Arabidopsis thaliana: one gene and its partner. The protein of the gene in region 1 binds, or shares a complex with, the protein of each later gene. Each region holds a gene or a part of one and is shown in the gene's direction. Other genes may lie near its edges.

Region 1 (8,024 bases):
AAAATGTACTTCCCAAATAATATAGTAGGATATATAGTTAGTGATCCAATGCAGAATTATATAAGTGATGATAAGAGTAAAATATATGGAGTCAAATAGCTTTAATTTTTGATGAACATACATATATGTTTCCCGCTTCCTTCGTTCATAATTGGATCTAAAGATATAAACTTATAATAACCAAGACCCGAAAAAATACACAAACTTACGTTACCGGACAAAATAGTTCTTTTGAATATAAACTTGAACTTTCAAAATTCTTGGAAAACTAATTACAAATTTTTTGGACTTTGTGATAAAAATATTCAACATTAATGAAGAATTATTTAAACGTACTTTACTCAATTTCCATCACATGCATAGCTACTACAGAATAATACGACTCGTCAAACTTTATATAAACTCTATTTCCCTCGTCCTTAACAATACATTTCACGATCCCAAATCTCTCTTTCTCTCAACTTCTCTTTTTAACAAACGAAAAAAGACATGGGGCATAGAAATACCGTATTGACAATACTTCTAACCATTTCTATAGCCATAATGGTACTCATTGCTACAGTATTTGTTAGCAACAACAAAACAGAAACGTTGTTACAAACGCATACGCAGACGCAAACGCTAATTACAACGGGAAGGGTGAGCCGTTTCTTAGCGCAAAACGCAAAGAACGGTCGTAATCTTAACGCAGCGGATCATTGCAATAAAGAAGAGGAGATATGCAAGAGTCAAGGAATGTACAACTCAACCATGGCGTGTTGTAGCAACAAGTGTGTTGATCTGGCGTACGATAACGATAACTGTGGCGCATGTAAGAACCAATGCAAGTTCACGCAGACTTGTTGTAGAGGAGAGTGCGTTTACTTAGCTTATGATAAGAGGCATTGTGGGGAGTGCAACCATAGTTGTTTGGTTGGTGAGTTTTGTGTCTATGGGTTGTGTAATTACGCATGATATGTGATTAGTTAGTTTTTATATGTTAAACTTTGGTATTTTATTAGTGTTTTGTTTATTTCGATTTATAAATTTTAATCGATAATTTGATACGACTAGATTGGTTTTCTTTGTGATATGAGTTTGAATGTTTGATATTGCAAAAAGGTTCAAGAAATGGAGAACCATATAATAGATATTATTCCATATAACATCTATTATTCCATGGACCAATAATCTGGCAGTGCATGGCTTCATAAGCCTTTACTAACATATAAATCTCACAATTTATGAACCATATAATAGATATTATTCCATTTTACATATTAAAATATTCTATATGACAAAAAAGATAGTGATTTTCAAACATAAACTTTGTCTAGAGATGAAATATTATTTGAAAAAAAAAGAGAAGCTTAGAGATGACGCCTAAAGTTTGAAAACAAATGAAGAGAATATGCAAGAAAAAAAAACAAAGAAAAAAATCAAATTTATGAACCGTATAACATCTATTATTCCATTTTCTATATTATATGTGATGATATTTTGTTATTTAAGTGAATAATTGAAGAATTAATTATTAAATTATTTGATATTATAGATGTTTCAAGTAATTTATTTTGTTGATAGGAATGTGAATAACATTAAAGAAATGAAGAGTTGAGATTTAACAAAAGTTGAACCTAGCTATGAGAACTTTGCCAAAAAAAACAAAGTTTCAAAAAAAAGATTTTGAGTGTCAATCAACAAATTAACGAATCCAGAGAATCATCAAGGGGCAACGACTACATCTTCTTGCATTTTACTCATGGGATATTGTCCTTGAATCCTTCGGCTGGTGAACTTGACTGGAAAGAGGCTAAACACATTTTAAAAAGTCGGAAAATTCAGACGTTACACGATGATAAAGAGTACATGATATTTGGTCTAAGTAAAGATCACTACAATGAACAAATGTATGTCTCTTATGTTTATATACTTTTTATGTTCATTATTATAAGATATATTTCTTTGCTTTATTTAGGTTTATTCGAAAGTTTACAAACAAAAAACTAAGAATCGGTGAAGGTTAAGACTACGGTATATAAATATTTCACCAAAGTGTTGGGAATTAAGCTGAAATATTTAGGTGACTTTCCTTGTCTAAGGGATGTCGGCTCTGATCACCCGATTTACTTACCGATTGAGGTGATTTAAAAGATTTTCATATTAACTTACCACATTTTCATGCACACATTATGAACATCGTTGATAGCTTTTGTTACTACGTATCATGTAATTGATTTCGTTACTTAGTATAGGAGATTTATCTGAAGTTGACTGGCCCAAGGTAAAAAGTTAACTTATGCTTATTTGAGTCTTAAGTTAACTTTTTCTCGTCAGGCTGAACTTGTTCGGGTAACTTTTTTTTAAAAGATTTTGTTTTAACGATTTTCCCAAAATCTAAAAGAAGATAAATTATTAAGGGAGAGAATTGGCAATGGAGCGCCTGAGAATAAGTTTTTGAATCAACAGTCGCGGCAAAAGGTAGATCGAAGCAGATCTCTCGCTGGAAAACGTCACATTGAGGTATCTATCGCCGCCAATGGTGAAGGCACTGCAAGGCGCGGCTCAGAATCTACCGGCGGATGTCAACCAATTGATCGATCAGTTAGAGCGTCACTGTTTGGCTCCCGATGGATCTCTTGTTACCAAATCTGTCTACTCCGATCTCCAACTCGTAATCTCTCTTTCAGATTTTGTGTCCACAATCCCCTAATTCTCTTTAAGAGCCTCAAATGTTATTGTATCGACATTGCAGGCGAGAGAGGAGATGTCTCGGGAGAGACTTCGGTATTTGGAAGCTATGGTAACACTTTTATCTCTTCTTCCATTTTTGGGGTTTATTTTAATTTCAGGATTTTCTTCATTCACTTATTGAAGTTGAAGCTGATTAGTTCAAATTAGGGTTTGATTCAATCTAAGGACTCACATTATTAGTTTTTACAATTGTTAGGCTATTTATTGTGAAGCTGTAGCTATGGTTGAAGAATATCAGCAAGCTATTTCAGTAGCTAACCATGGGGGAATTCGTGATGTTCAAGGTCTATACCCTCAACTTGGCTTGAAGAATTCTCCTCAGGTTTCTAATCTCAAAAACGTGATTTTTTTTCTGGAATTATTTGTTATCTCGAGACTCATTTATGAGCATAATTGTTGATTTTTTTTAGGTTTATGAGACTCTAGAGCATAGGTTGGTGGTTGCTGAGGCGGCTCAGAAACTGAGGCTACCTCTTATTTCAGATGGTGGTGAAATTCATGAGGAAGAGATTGAAAAGTGGAGTATACTTTCAAGAAGCTCTCTTGATAGTGCAAGCACGAGTTTTACGATTAGCTCCACTTCTAACTCCGTGAACTATGCGAATAGCTCTGCAAATAGTGTTGCTGGTGGGATTAGTCTTAGTGCTGTTGATACTGACGTAGTAGGTGGTGTTCCGAATCGATTTCTTGGAATAACACCTGCTTACTTATCCTATGTTCAGCTTCAAAATACTATTTCCATGGTAATGTGAGATCATACTGTGCCTACTTTTGGTGTCTTCATAACTATGTTGTTCCTTCATCTGCTGATTGCGAAATATTTTTGCACCAATTCTTATGAAAGATTGGGTTATGGATATCTTTGAGTATCTAATTTTTTCTTTTAAATAACTTTGCTTAGGACATGGCTGACTACCAAATGTTTCTTGCCCGTGAGATAGAAGGTCGATTGAAGGAAAAATGTGATAAGTTGGCTGATGCCATTGTTGATGACACTGGTAAGATCTTCATTACTAGCAGACAGAGAAAGAGGTCTTTCGCTCCTTACCCAAATTCATTTGTTCCTGTCCAATGTGATACTTGGACTTTATGTTAAGTTGTGTGCCAATCCTGACTGTATTTTTCTTATACTCTTCATTAAATGACAGATTCGTCCACAGGAAATCGAAATTCAAGTGCTAGGCTCCCAGAAAGGTTAGCTTTATCACTATGGTTTAACTATGCCTAAAGACATCTAAAAGAAAAACTTAATAGCGTTATGGTTTTAGTGAAGACGGATGGCAACTGGCCTTTCTAGGGATATATATATCTACATAATGTGATATACATGTAAACATATGGTAGCGAAATGCAACTGAAAGCCTCTTTTAGATGATGGGATCATAGCCATAGAGAAAAAGTTATGTTCGTGATAGTATTCTGTTTCTCTGTAAAGTTTATTAAAAGTCTAGAAGGAACAAATGATTTTCTCACACTTAGCCATCCTCTTAAGCTCTCTAGTACCGATGAGTGACCGTGTTTTCTTGCATTTCAGGGTTAAGTTTATAATTGAGGAGATTGAAAGAGATGAAGCAGCTCTACGAGAGGACCTGTACTCGGCTGACAGGAAGTTTGCTGAATATTACAATGTAGGTGAAAAGAATATTCATATTGTATTATGCAAACCGAAAATCTAATTACTGGGCTGTTGCATGATATTTTACTAAATTTTTTTTTTTTATAGATAAATTTCTACATGTATATGAAAGCTACTACTTGTCAATTATCCATGTATCCCCTAGTTGTAGTAAGTTCTGATGACTGTTCGTTTTTATTCTGAACAAGGTCCTGGAACAAATACTCGGGGTACTTATAAAGCTTGTGAAGGATCTAAAGTTAGAACATCAACACAAATATGTAAGGGTTTCAGTGTTTTCCAATTGATTTAAATGCTGCCTGTTCATATATAGCTTACTCTATATATTGTCACAGAATGAGATGCAGAAGACTTGGTTGTGTAAAAGGTGTGAGACCATGAATGCAAAATTAAGGTATAATCTCATCCTTTACTGTTTAGGATCTAAATTTCAGGCTATTGCAGTAGTTAAGATATCTTATCTTTCTCTGCTTGAAGGGTTTTGGAAAATGTTCTCCTCCTTGAGACATACACCCCTGACTCCATATCAGCTCTGCACAACATCAGGTGCGGGAATCTATTTTCCAGACATGTTTCTTTCCATGTATTTGATAAATCCATGACCCCGTCTCTCACCTCCAAGCATTATTGTATTTTTTTAGGAATTATCTAGTCGAGGCTACCGAGGAAGCTTCAGCTGCATACAACAAAGCGGTTTGTGTCTTTATCCTCTCTTACATTGCTTAGCACTAAACCCTTTTGTTCAGTCTTCATTGGCATTTTACTCCCGATTAATTAACCGAGCCTGCGAAATGACACACAGGTTACTCGGCTTAGAGAATATCAAGGAGTAGATCCGCATTTTGATACAATTGCCAGACAGTACCATGACATTGTTAAGGTACAAGCAAGTCATTACTTAAGTCATTTCACCTTCTAAATTTGATTTGACTTGTGGGAATACAACAACACGAATTATAATGAGAGCTTTCATGGTTTTGCAGAAACTGGAAAATATGCAGTGGACCATTCATCAAGTAGAAATGGACCTTAAGTCTCATGACTGATCACTAGATTTGTTAACACTTGTGATATATGTATTAGCAAATCTAATCCTCCAAGAAAGATTGAACTGGGAGAAAAAATCAGTATAATTTAAATATACATCTAGCTATGTGGTCCACTACTTGTAATCTACTTACATTGTGTTATCTTCCTCTGTTATATACTTTTATTGGTCCTTCAAACCAAATGAGATGACCAGTTTAGCAGTACCAAAATAAATGAAAGCAATCATCTCTCTCTCTCTCTTTTCAACCTTAAATTTTTGCCTAAACAACAATAATAATACCACTCTTGTCTTTTTTGATTAGATTCAGACAGAAGACAAATAAAATATGTTAGAACAATCTTGGTTGTTGTGGATTCCCACTTCTCATCATAGCACAAAACTCGTCATAGTTGATTCTACCGTCCTGTAACAAGAAACAAAATTTGAGGTCAGAGAAAGAAAACGAAAAACGTTACAAGGGCGAAGAGCTTTAATCTTTTGGCTTTTACATTATCAGCGTCGACATCAGACAAAATCTCTTTGATAGTAGCATCATCTCCCATTCCATATTCCTTCAAAGCAGCCTCTAGCTCGTCTGTCGTAATGTATCTATTAAACACATTTTCAGTAATAGTCTCATCAATCATTGCTAACAAATCTATTTACATTGCAAAATGATTCATACCAAAAGAAAGATCACTTACCCACTCCCATCTTTGTCAAAATGTTGGAAGGCTTTGTAAACGTTCTCATTACTTTCAAGCCTATGTCTATGCATTGTTGCAGTAATAAACTCAATGTAATCTATTGACCCATTTCCATCAACGTCAGCCTGAATCACAAAAACCCGAATAGGAGTTTTTAAACATTCAAGAAGTAAATGAACGATCTTGTCTTGATCAAAACTTACAGCATCCATGAGCTGTTTCACTTCAGCTTCAGTGAGTCTTGATCCCAGTTTGGCTAATCCTTCTTTCAATTCTTCGTATGTGATAGTACCACTATTGTCTGTATCTATATTAGCAAACATCGCCTTTAAGCCTTGTATTTCTTCCGTGTCAATGTTCTCCGCAATGACCTGTGTCAAAATCAATCTGTAAGATGAAAGGTACAAAGGACTGTCAAATCTGGCAACAAGGTGTAGAATCTTTGATCTAACCTTTAAAGCAAGTTTCTTTAGTTTATTCATCGCTCTAAATTGCTTCATCCTTGAGAGAACAGCACTATCAATAGGCTTATCCGATGCTTCTCCACCTTCTCTTAGCCATGGATGCTCTTCAAAAGGTAAAACATCAACCATATTGTCAACATTCAAGTAAGTATACAAGAAGTTACCATAACCAACAAAGAATAAGATCGTTTACTTACTAAGAACTTCAGCAGCAGAAATCCGTCTTTTCGGATCTTGTGTCAACATTCTACGTACCAAATCTTTAGCACTATTGGAAATTGAGGGCCAAGGTTGGGATTCAAAGTCGATTTCACCTTCCAATATAGCATCAAATATCCCTTTCTCCGTTTCTACATTCCCAAAGCCAACAATCCATACTCATACACACATGCAACTACATTCTTCTCAAATATATATGAATCGAAATAACCGATAATTTCATCGCATTTACCAGCCCAAAACGGAGGCACACCACTAAGTAGAATGTATAGTATAATTCCAGCACTCCATATATCGATTTCTTTACCATATCTCCGCTTCAAAACTTCAGGAGCAACATAATATGCACTCCCAACTATATCTTTATACACTCTCCCTGCAAAATAAACCATCATGAATGAACCAATTCCAAAAGACATATCACCAATACAACAAAAGATGTAATATACCTTCTTCGATAAAGACTGATAATCCGAAATCAGTGGCTTTGATAAGAGCCTTCTCATCTTTGCTAGATAACAAGAAATTCTCAGGCTTTAAGTCTCTATGCATCACACCCATGAAATGACAAATATTGACAACATTAACAATCTGTCTACAAACAGAAGCAGCTGCTCTCTCACTGTAATGTCCCTTTGCTAAAATCCTATCGAACAATTCACCACCAGCACAAAGCTCCATAACCAAATTCACAGCTTTCTCATCTTCATAAGCTCCTTTAAACTCAACAATGTTAGGTTGTCCACTCAAATGCTGCATAATCTGAATCTCTCTCCTCATATCTTCTTTATCACCTTTCGTCACAAGTTTCTTCTTGGAAATCGACTTGCAAGCGAATCTCTTCCCCGTCGACTTCTCTGTGCACAGATACGTTACTCCAAACTGGCCTCGACCCAATTCTTTGCTCAAAGTGTAGAACAGTTTCACGTCTTCGTACGGCTTCTCGAGTATAGCTGCAGCACCACTGTGTTTCGCTGGATTCCGCCAAGGTGGTGGTTGATTCGTTCCGGTGGATATTTTAGACGGATCTTGGTGGGTGCTCCTTCTTCTGTTCTCGATCTCAACTGATCTTTCACCATTTTGTTGTGGTTTCATCACCAATCCGTATTTCTTGGCTAAGCAATTCCCCATTGCCCGTTCGTCTTTGCTTTAGCTAAATAAGCTCAAAATATCACGACCCAGAGACCAAAGATCGAACCTTTCGTGAAAATTTGCAGAGAATCAGGGATATAAAA
Region 2 (7,652 bases), on another chromosome or scaffold:
AAGGCTGCTGTGTTAGGCGAGAGAATCGTGAATAGTAAGGCTAATTTCTCAAATCAAAACTTTGGTTTTGGCTGGGTTCACTGTTACAAATTATAAAGTTTACAAAAACTATCACAAATGTTAAACTCAAATCTGCAGAGTATGAATACTAATTTATTCACCTCTATTGATATCTAAAGCAAAAACACCAAACATTCAAAAATATAGGATGGATCTAAATGGGTTTGAAAGATGGACCTGGGTCATCTTAATATAAGTTTGCCCACCACCAATAAAAACTGAGGGGTATGACAATGGGGACTAAGAGACACCTACACGTGTGCAGTGCCTACAACCATAAATTTGGCAGTAATTCAGGTTTCCGGAGTTTCATGATGACCGGTTTAATTTAGCGGTTTATCTTTTTTCCGAGCACCGACATTTTCAAAGTGGGCCTAACTATTTGTTACCTTCGAGCTAGCTCGACCGACAACTTGGTCAAAATAATTTGACTTGAGCGAACCAAAAAGGTGATTAGCGCCACTAAGCATGGAGACGTAAAAATTGTTAACGGGGAACATGCGTTTATTTGTTTATCATTACTTGTATCATTTAACTATATGAATAGCTGTTGACAAACTAATTAATTTTCATGTTGATCCACAACAAAATTCGTTTATACACTTTCATTATACTGTATCTTTTATAAAATAAAGTTAGTTTTTAAAATTAGTTTCGATTTGATGTTATATTATAAAATTTATATAAAGTTTACATTAAAAATCCTACTCGATATTCTTTTAAAATGTCTTTTTTTTTTAAATGGATTTTCTCTGTTTTTATTAGTGAACTTTTTCTTCAAAAAGATGACTATAGTTTCAAATGTGTTAAATTAATCAGACGGCAACTAATGTGGAAAAAAACAAAGTAATTCATATGATTAAGTTGTGTTGCATGCTGGTTTAATAAAGCTTTCTTTTTCAGTTTTCCTAGTCTTCCTCTTAATTTTTTTTTTTTTTTTTTTCAGTTTCCTAGTCTAGTTTTTGCTACGATTCAGTTTTCTTTCAAAGGATGTATATAAAAAGAAATGTTGTTAAAAATCAGTGAGCCCCAAGTGCATTTTTTGAGTTATTCTTCAGTAGACTGGCAGAAGAACGTTCTTTTCAAAGATAGTAGCTTGATCAGTTGTCGCAAGAACAATATTCTTTCAAATATTCATGAGTAGAAAAAGATGGTCGTTTCCTATCGTCTTGAGTCGCAAACCATTAATAACTTAATTAAAATGTTTAAAACAAATAAAACGCCTCTTAGTTGTGATAATCCAGTCGTTAAATATCAGTCTTATAAAGTTTAACTATGCATTGATTATTCGCTTAGCTTATGCATAAAATTTTATTCGGCATCTGGTGTGTGGTGTGGTTCGTGCAACCCGCTCAATTAACTCCGAATCTATGGAATTAATAATGTTGTCGTTGGTGGTTCCCATATTCCAAAAGAAAGAAAAAAACTAAATTATTTTCAAATGATTGAGCGCCACGTGTCTCTTCGTACCAGCACATCACCGACGACCTCAAGCTCCAAAGTTACACTATATATTCCACCTTACTAGTTACTACGATAGTATTTTAAGACAATATTTAAGGAACTTTATTACTTGTTTTTTGATAAAGAAATGAGAAGATGGGAATCGAACCCATTACTTAGCTTGAGTATAATATCATAAAGGAACCAAATGAGCTGCGAATAAACTTTATTAACCCCATATGTCTAGCTTATTTGGTGAGTACGAGAAGGATTGAATTTTGCTTGTTGTTGGTGCTGAGTTCAAACTTTCATTTGGGAAAGGATGGTTTAATTTCATTTGGGAAAACTTAAATTCTTGTTTATTTAAGCAGATTTGATGTGTTTATTTTTCTTGATAATTATTTTAGATTCATATGACAAGAGTCGGTCGATGAAATTTCTATGCATGGGTTTTGTTTTCTCTCCCTCTCTCTCTTAAATCCATGCAGAATAAAAAAATTGGCGATCCATAATAATGCAGAATATTAAATGCAAGGTATAAAATAAATAAATGTAACAATCAAATCCCAATGTTTTTAGTTAATAAATATGTTAATAACCAGATCTGTCAAATCTTTGATATTAAAGAGTCTTTTAGTATAAAGTGAAGAACTTTTTATTAGATCAAAATATGTTTTTTTGCTTCTAGACGTTCCATATTTCATAAATCTCCCACCGACGGTCTCACATTGTTTCGACTTTACAATTAATAAACGTGCCATAAGCTAGAAGCTTCTCAGAGCAATCTTATTAAAAACAATCTTAAGAAAGATTCAAGCTTTATTAATTTAGAAATAAGCTAAGAATTTATATACAGCTCAGCTCATGATTTCTTTATATATATAAAAAAGAAACTTAATATATAACTCGTAAAAAGCTTTATGTATTGTACAAAGAAATGAAAAAGGGAAAGACTAATTGAAAAACACCAAACATTTTTTTTTTTTTTTTTTTATCCATATCAAGGTTACCATATATTGATGTTATAATTTCTAAATACAAATATATTTAAATTCTCGTTATTCAACAACATTTTTTCATAATGGCATATCAACAATACTAATACAAACCACTAGTTTCTATTACATTGGTTGGTTTTTGTCGGGTTGCTTTCGTTCCGTCACGTAGCAGATCTCAGTGTCCATATTTCTCGACCGTCCGTAATAGCATGTTGGGCTATCTTCAGCATATTTCTGGGCTAAGCCCATTTTGGTCTTCGGTTCTTCTTCAGATGTATTTTTGTGAAGTTGTTGGATGACTTACAATTTTACATATACAAAAGTAAAGTATAAATTACTGAAGTAGGAAAAAAAGAAAAGAGTTTAATGGCATGACGAAAAGTTTTTGAATATTTTTGAATTTGGTTTTATATATAACAATCTGGATCCGCCACCGTCGAATTAATCTCCGGAAAGCTCGTCGAAAGATGTCGATGGGAGGCGACACGACGTGGGTTGGGAAGAAGCCGATCAGACGCATCGGTGGATTATCTGATGCTCTCTCTATCGCCTCCGATCTCGGTTTCGCCGTCGCTCCTCCTCCGTCGCAGGTAACTTCTCTTGTTCACTTTAATCTCATCCGAATCGGAATTGCGTCTCCGGTTAGTTCCATTAGCTTGAGTATAGCATATGCTTTGGGTTGTATGCTATTAGATTGACTTTGCAGAACAATGCGTATGAGAGATCTATAATTTGAAGGAGATTATGTTTCTGAGGAATGAGGAATTTTAGCTGCTTGTTAGTTTTGCGAATCTCTGGACCATATGTTTTGATTAGATCTTTGATCTCTTGGCTTTTATATACTGAATCTGAATTTTTCATCAAGTAGAGAATATTTATGGTTAGTTATCTCTTCAATTGGCTCAATCATTTTCCGATGTAGGAAGAATTACAAAGCTTTGCGTCTTCGAATGGGGAAAGAGGTGATGATTTGATAAGGGTATTGAGAGAGTTATCTGTTGTTCAAAGGAAAATTGCAGACTTGCAGGTCGAGCTTCAAGGGAGGAAGGTATCTTTCTCATGGTTTTGGTTTCTTTTTCAAATTGAAATAAGATATGGATCATAGTATTTGCATTGCCTGAAGCCTTATGATAACTTATTGGTATATCTCATGTAACAACTTTTGTTAGATGCTTTGTATATAACTTCTTTTGTTGGCGAATTTCAGGATGATAAAAATGTGGCGCATTTGACTCATGTTGGTGAAATGCAAAAGAAAATCGAGACTTTGTCAAGGATTACTCAAATATTGAAAGATGTTATACAAAACAAGGTAGGATCATTTTTCCTTTCTACTTACCTCTAAAATCTTCTCTCTCTTTTTTTTCTGGACTAAGGTTTATGTATCTTTCGAGTTCATTTATCTCTCTTTTCTGTCTTTAAGCGATATCCCTCTTATTCACTATCGTTCTGAAAATTGAGAAAATTCCTTAAGATGTTTTCGAAACATTAGCTTCTGAGTACGTCTTAAGACTGCCTTATCTTTTAGTCAATTTGTGACCCTCTAGTTGAAGTTTATTACATCATTTGTCTGTTTATATAACAGGATCGCATCATTGCTCGTCTCCAACAACCTTATTCGCTAGATTGCATTCCAGTTGAAGCAGAATATCAGGTGATTCATGCCATTTTATACTATTTGCAACTTTGAGGACCTTATTTAGTATCTGAAGTTGCACAACTGGAAAACGAAGATGCTATGTTTAATGGCTTTGTTCTGCTTTGTTTTTCAGAAACAATTCTCAGAGTTGCTAATGAAAGCCGCCAGTGATTATGGCGCCTTAACAGCATCCGTGTCTGATTTTCAGTGGAGCCAAAACTTTAAAGAACCTCCTTCAGTCTGGGGGGTACGATTTTACTCTCTTTTACATGCATCTTGATTTTTTTTCCATTTACATCTTTGACTTTCAGACATAACTCCACATGTTTAGTTGCATACATTGGATTACTCATTTCAGTTGGAATCTAATACATTGTTCATAGTGTAAGAGGAAAGCACTGTATTACACTACGCCATGCGTTAACTGTATAGAATACATTGCAGAAGGATCAGTTGTGTCATCAGGTCCTTGAATTAGATTTCTATGTGTTTAAACTCTTTGCATCAAGAGAGAAGGAGATTGCTACTTTTACGTAATGTGTTGCATAACAGTTGTTGATTTCGGTTTTACATGCTATAATCTCAATCTCTCTACTCTTTTTTTCCCCAACAAAATTATAGGAAATGCTGCGTCCAATACCTGTGGCACTAGCGTCATGCACGAGATTCTTTGAGGCCATGTCTGCGATGAGAGAATCATTCGCGACTCTTCAAGAGCTTCGAGTTGGTAACTCTGCAGTTTCTTTACCAACAACACCAGGAGGTAACGAAATGACACATAGAGACTCAGATTGTGTGACTCCACCTCAAGGGAGGATAGAGTCAAGCTTCGACGATTTAGCTGTTCATAAAACAAGGAGACAAAACAATGATCAAAATGAAGAAGAAGAAGAAGAAGAAGAAGAAGAAGATGGTAATAACAATGGGAACCGGAGACTATCTTGGCCTCCTTCTGTAAAAAAGAGTAGCGTTTAAACAGTTGCTTTTGTCTTTGCTTGAGCTTTTTAATATCGATCGTGTTTTGTTTCATCAGCATTAGTGTTCTTTATGGATTTACTTATTTCTATTTGATAGTCTTTGAGTGAAACTTAAAACAGTGTATATTTTGTTAACACTGGTTTTCATGGTCCATGTGACTATCATATTTTAGTCTGTTCGTTTGTTCGCCGCTTGCGGCTGCGGCAGACCGCGGCAAAACTACCGCAAAATTAAAATATTTCATAGATGTGGGAATTGTTTTAGTCGAGAAATCTAAAGAGGGGTCTATAAAAAAAGGATTAGCATTCATAGGCACAATCGTTCCACTAAATAACTCGTATGGTCTAAATATTGTAGTATGTAGACTGTAGAGAGTAGACCATGAATTTAAGACAACTTTAATTGAGAACCGGTGGCACCTAATCATATTTTAGCCACCTAGTTACATAGCCCGGTCTGGTCTTAAAAGTAGTTTGTGTAAATTGGACAATAAAACCTCATATATCATTTACATGATATTTAAACTGTAAAACTCATCACTATTTAAAACTATAAAACGAACCACAAAAGTGTTTGCAATAAAAAAAATACCACTTATATATAAAATTCATATCAGATTAGATTGCATAGGTTCACTGCCAATCCATGGCCAACATTTCTAAATGATATACAGTACATGAAAGACTATTATATTCAACTATTCAAAGTTATCTGATGGAAAATTATTACATGAAATCAAATAAGTAGTTGAATCTGGATGATCGATCTCAATATTCATATTAAAATGGAACACACTTTTGTTGTTAGAGTATTGATATAATGCATGTAACGTGAAATTGCAATAATGCATCATATATAGGTTTATATAGATTAACTGAGAGACATCACTTGCGTTGGTTACTCAATAATTACGTAGCTAAAATTAATAAAGCGGCGTTAAGGACCCACCCACGAGCTCTATCTATATATTTCCGTGGTTTTTGTATTCGAAACAGAATCGATCACATACGTCCAAATTTTGATTTGTTCCTGGCCCACTCCTTATCCTTACGCGCCCGAACGCGTGTCCTTTTAAATTGACTCTTTCATATAACCAAAATATCAGACCAACCTCTGGTTTATTCGGTTTAGCGATTATACTCATTATTACACATTTTCCAGACACACAAATTGAGATTATTTAATTTCTCACATTTCAAGTATATATTAAATTTCGGATGCGTGCAATTAAATGAAACGAATAAATATGTGCAAGCGATTAATGTACCGACGCAGGCGATGAATATTCGTATTTCTCGCAACTTTAAATGTCGATGATACACTTTTCAAAGCATAACTTTAATGTCAAATGTCAATTCATTGTCCATGCGTCCATTTCCCACTCTCGACACCTATTTTCATGTCTTAAATTCTTGATTTATTGCTTCATTTTTGATTTTTATTTTTATTTTGTTGTTTACAATTCATTATTTCTTGTTCATTTTCTGTAAGACATTTGACAAATTATACAAAAGAATCGAATCTACAAAACATATTCTAATCTAAACAACAAAATCTAAATCTAACAGTCTCAAAAATATTTGACAATCATGCAAATATGTTACAGATAATATCAATTTTTCATGATGCGAGAAAATACCATTTTAGTGCTCATTGAATAAAGATGCATTATTAGTTTGCGGCTTTTCAGAAGACATCAAGTCTCAAAGGACCATTATGTAATTTGAAGAAAATAGGAAACTACACGCGCCTGCCAAAGAAGGACCTTATCCCACGCGTTTATATATCTTCCAATCCATAAGCAGAGCTTCTCTTCAACGTGCTCCGGTGAAGATTAAAAACCGACGAGACCCTGGCGCCATCACAACTACGCAATCTCATTCCTCCGTCTTCTTCGGCTTTCAAATTTACCATTTTACCCTTCTCTTTCCCTGAGACGTCTTCTTTGGAAATATTCTTCTCTTCTTCCATTCCAAGTAAACCCAAATTCTCTCTCTCTCTCTATCTCTCAAATTTCAAATTCCGGATTTATTGATTCTCTGGTGATAAACCTAAACCTCTGGTTTTGATTTGTGGTTGTTATTGTTGCTACATTAATGGTGCTTTTAATTTTTTCTCTGATCCATTTCTCGCCGTGTGATTTCAAATTTCTCCGGCTGTTTTTGTTCGCCGGCGGGCGGTGTTGATTCGATTCTATACGATTTGAATTTCCTTTTTCTTTAGGTTTTAGAGTTTCCTTTTCTATTAAGTAATCACACAATTTTACAAATTTGTTCCTAAATTTATTTATGTCATTTTACCAACTAACTACCATTAATTTGTATAAAACTCGTCGGCAATAGCTTCATGACCTCTTTCTCTCAAGGCTAAGCTCTTGTAATCTCTGTTGAGAATTTGTTGTGGAGTATGATGATAATGACGAATAATCTGGAATTACGTCTTTCGATTTTTCAGTGATTTTGAGGTTAATTGGAAATTAGAGTGCAAAATTGGGATTTAGATGGGGATTGCTGATGAATCTAAATGTGTTTTCC

What was found.
Region 2: AUG4 (region 1) and AUG2 share a complex: the UniProt entries of both Arabidopsis thaliana proteins name them as parts of the augmin complex.

Annotation. Positions count from the first base shown.
Region 1 is NC_003070.9:18,782,110-18,790,133, reverse strand, and holds AUG4 (HAUS augmin-like complex subunit), read left to right. Parts: upstream 1-2,331; 5' UTR 2,332-2,518; coding exon 2,519-2,653; intron 2,654-2,734; coding exon 2,735-2,782; intron 2,783-2,929; coding exon 2,930-3,055; intron 3,056-3,143; coding exon 3,144-3,476; intron 3,477-3,634; coding exon 3,635-3,731; intron 3,732-3,881; coding exon 3,882-3,927; intron 3,928-4,267; coding exon 4,268-4,361; intron 4,362-4,557; coding exon 4,558-4,629; intron 4,630-4,704; coding exon 4,705-4,763; intron 4,764-4,846; coding exon 4,847-4,915; intron 4,916-5,010; coding exon 5,011-5,062; intron 5,063-5,171; coding exon 5,172-5,249; intron 5,250-5,352; coding exon 5,353-5,415; 3' UTR 5,416-5,625; downstream 5,626-8,024. Other genes in the region: AT1G50720 (Stigma-specific Stig1 family protein), read left to right, coding at 490-954; CPK33 (calcium-dependent protein kinase 33), read right to left, coding at 5,749-5,823, 5,909-6,008, 6,104-6,477, 6,559-6,674, 6,768-6,920, 7,022-7,165, 7,239-7,920. UniProt on the Arabidopsis thaliana protein: Involved in microtubules reorganization during spindle and phragmoplast development.
Region 2 is NC_003071.7:13,995,032-14,002,683, reverse strand, and holds AUG2 (HAUS augmin-like complex subunit), read left to right. Parts: upstream 1-2,734; 5' UTR 2,735-2,968; coding exon 2,969-3,091; intron 3,092-3,423; coding exon 3,424-3,549; intron 3,550-3,708; coding exon 3,709-3,813; intron 3,814-4,086; coding exon 4,087-4,155; intron 4,156-4,273; coding exon 4,274-4,387; intron 4,388-4,761; coding exon 4,762-5,115; 3' UTR 5,116-5,359; downstream 5,360-7,652. Other genes in the region: AT2G32970 (G1/S-specific cyclin-E protein), read left to right, coding at 7,619-7,652. UniProt on the Arabidopsis thaliana protein: Contributes to the assembly of the acentrosomal spindle and phragmoplast microtubule arrays as part of the augmin complex.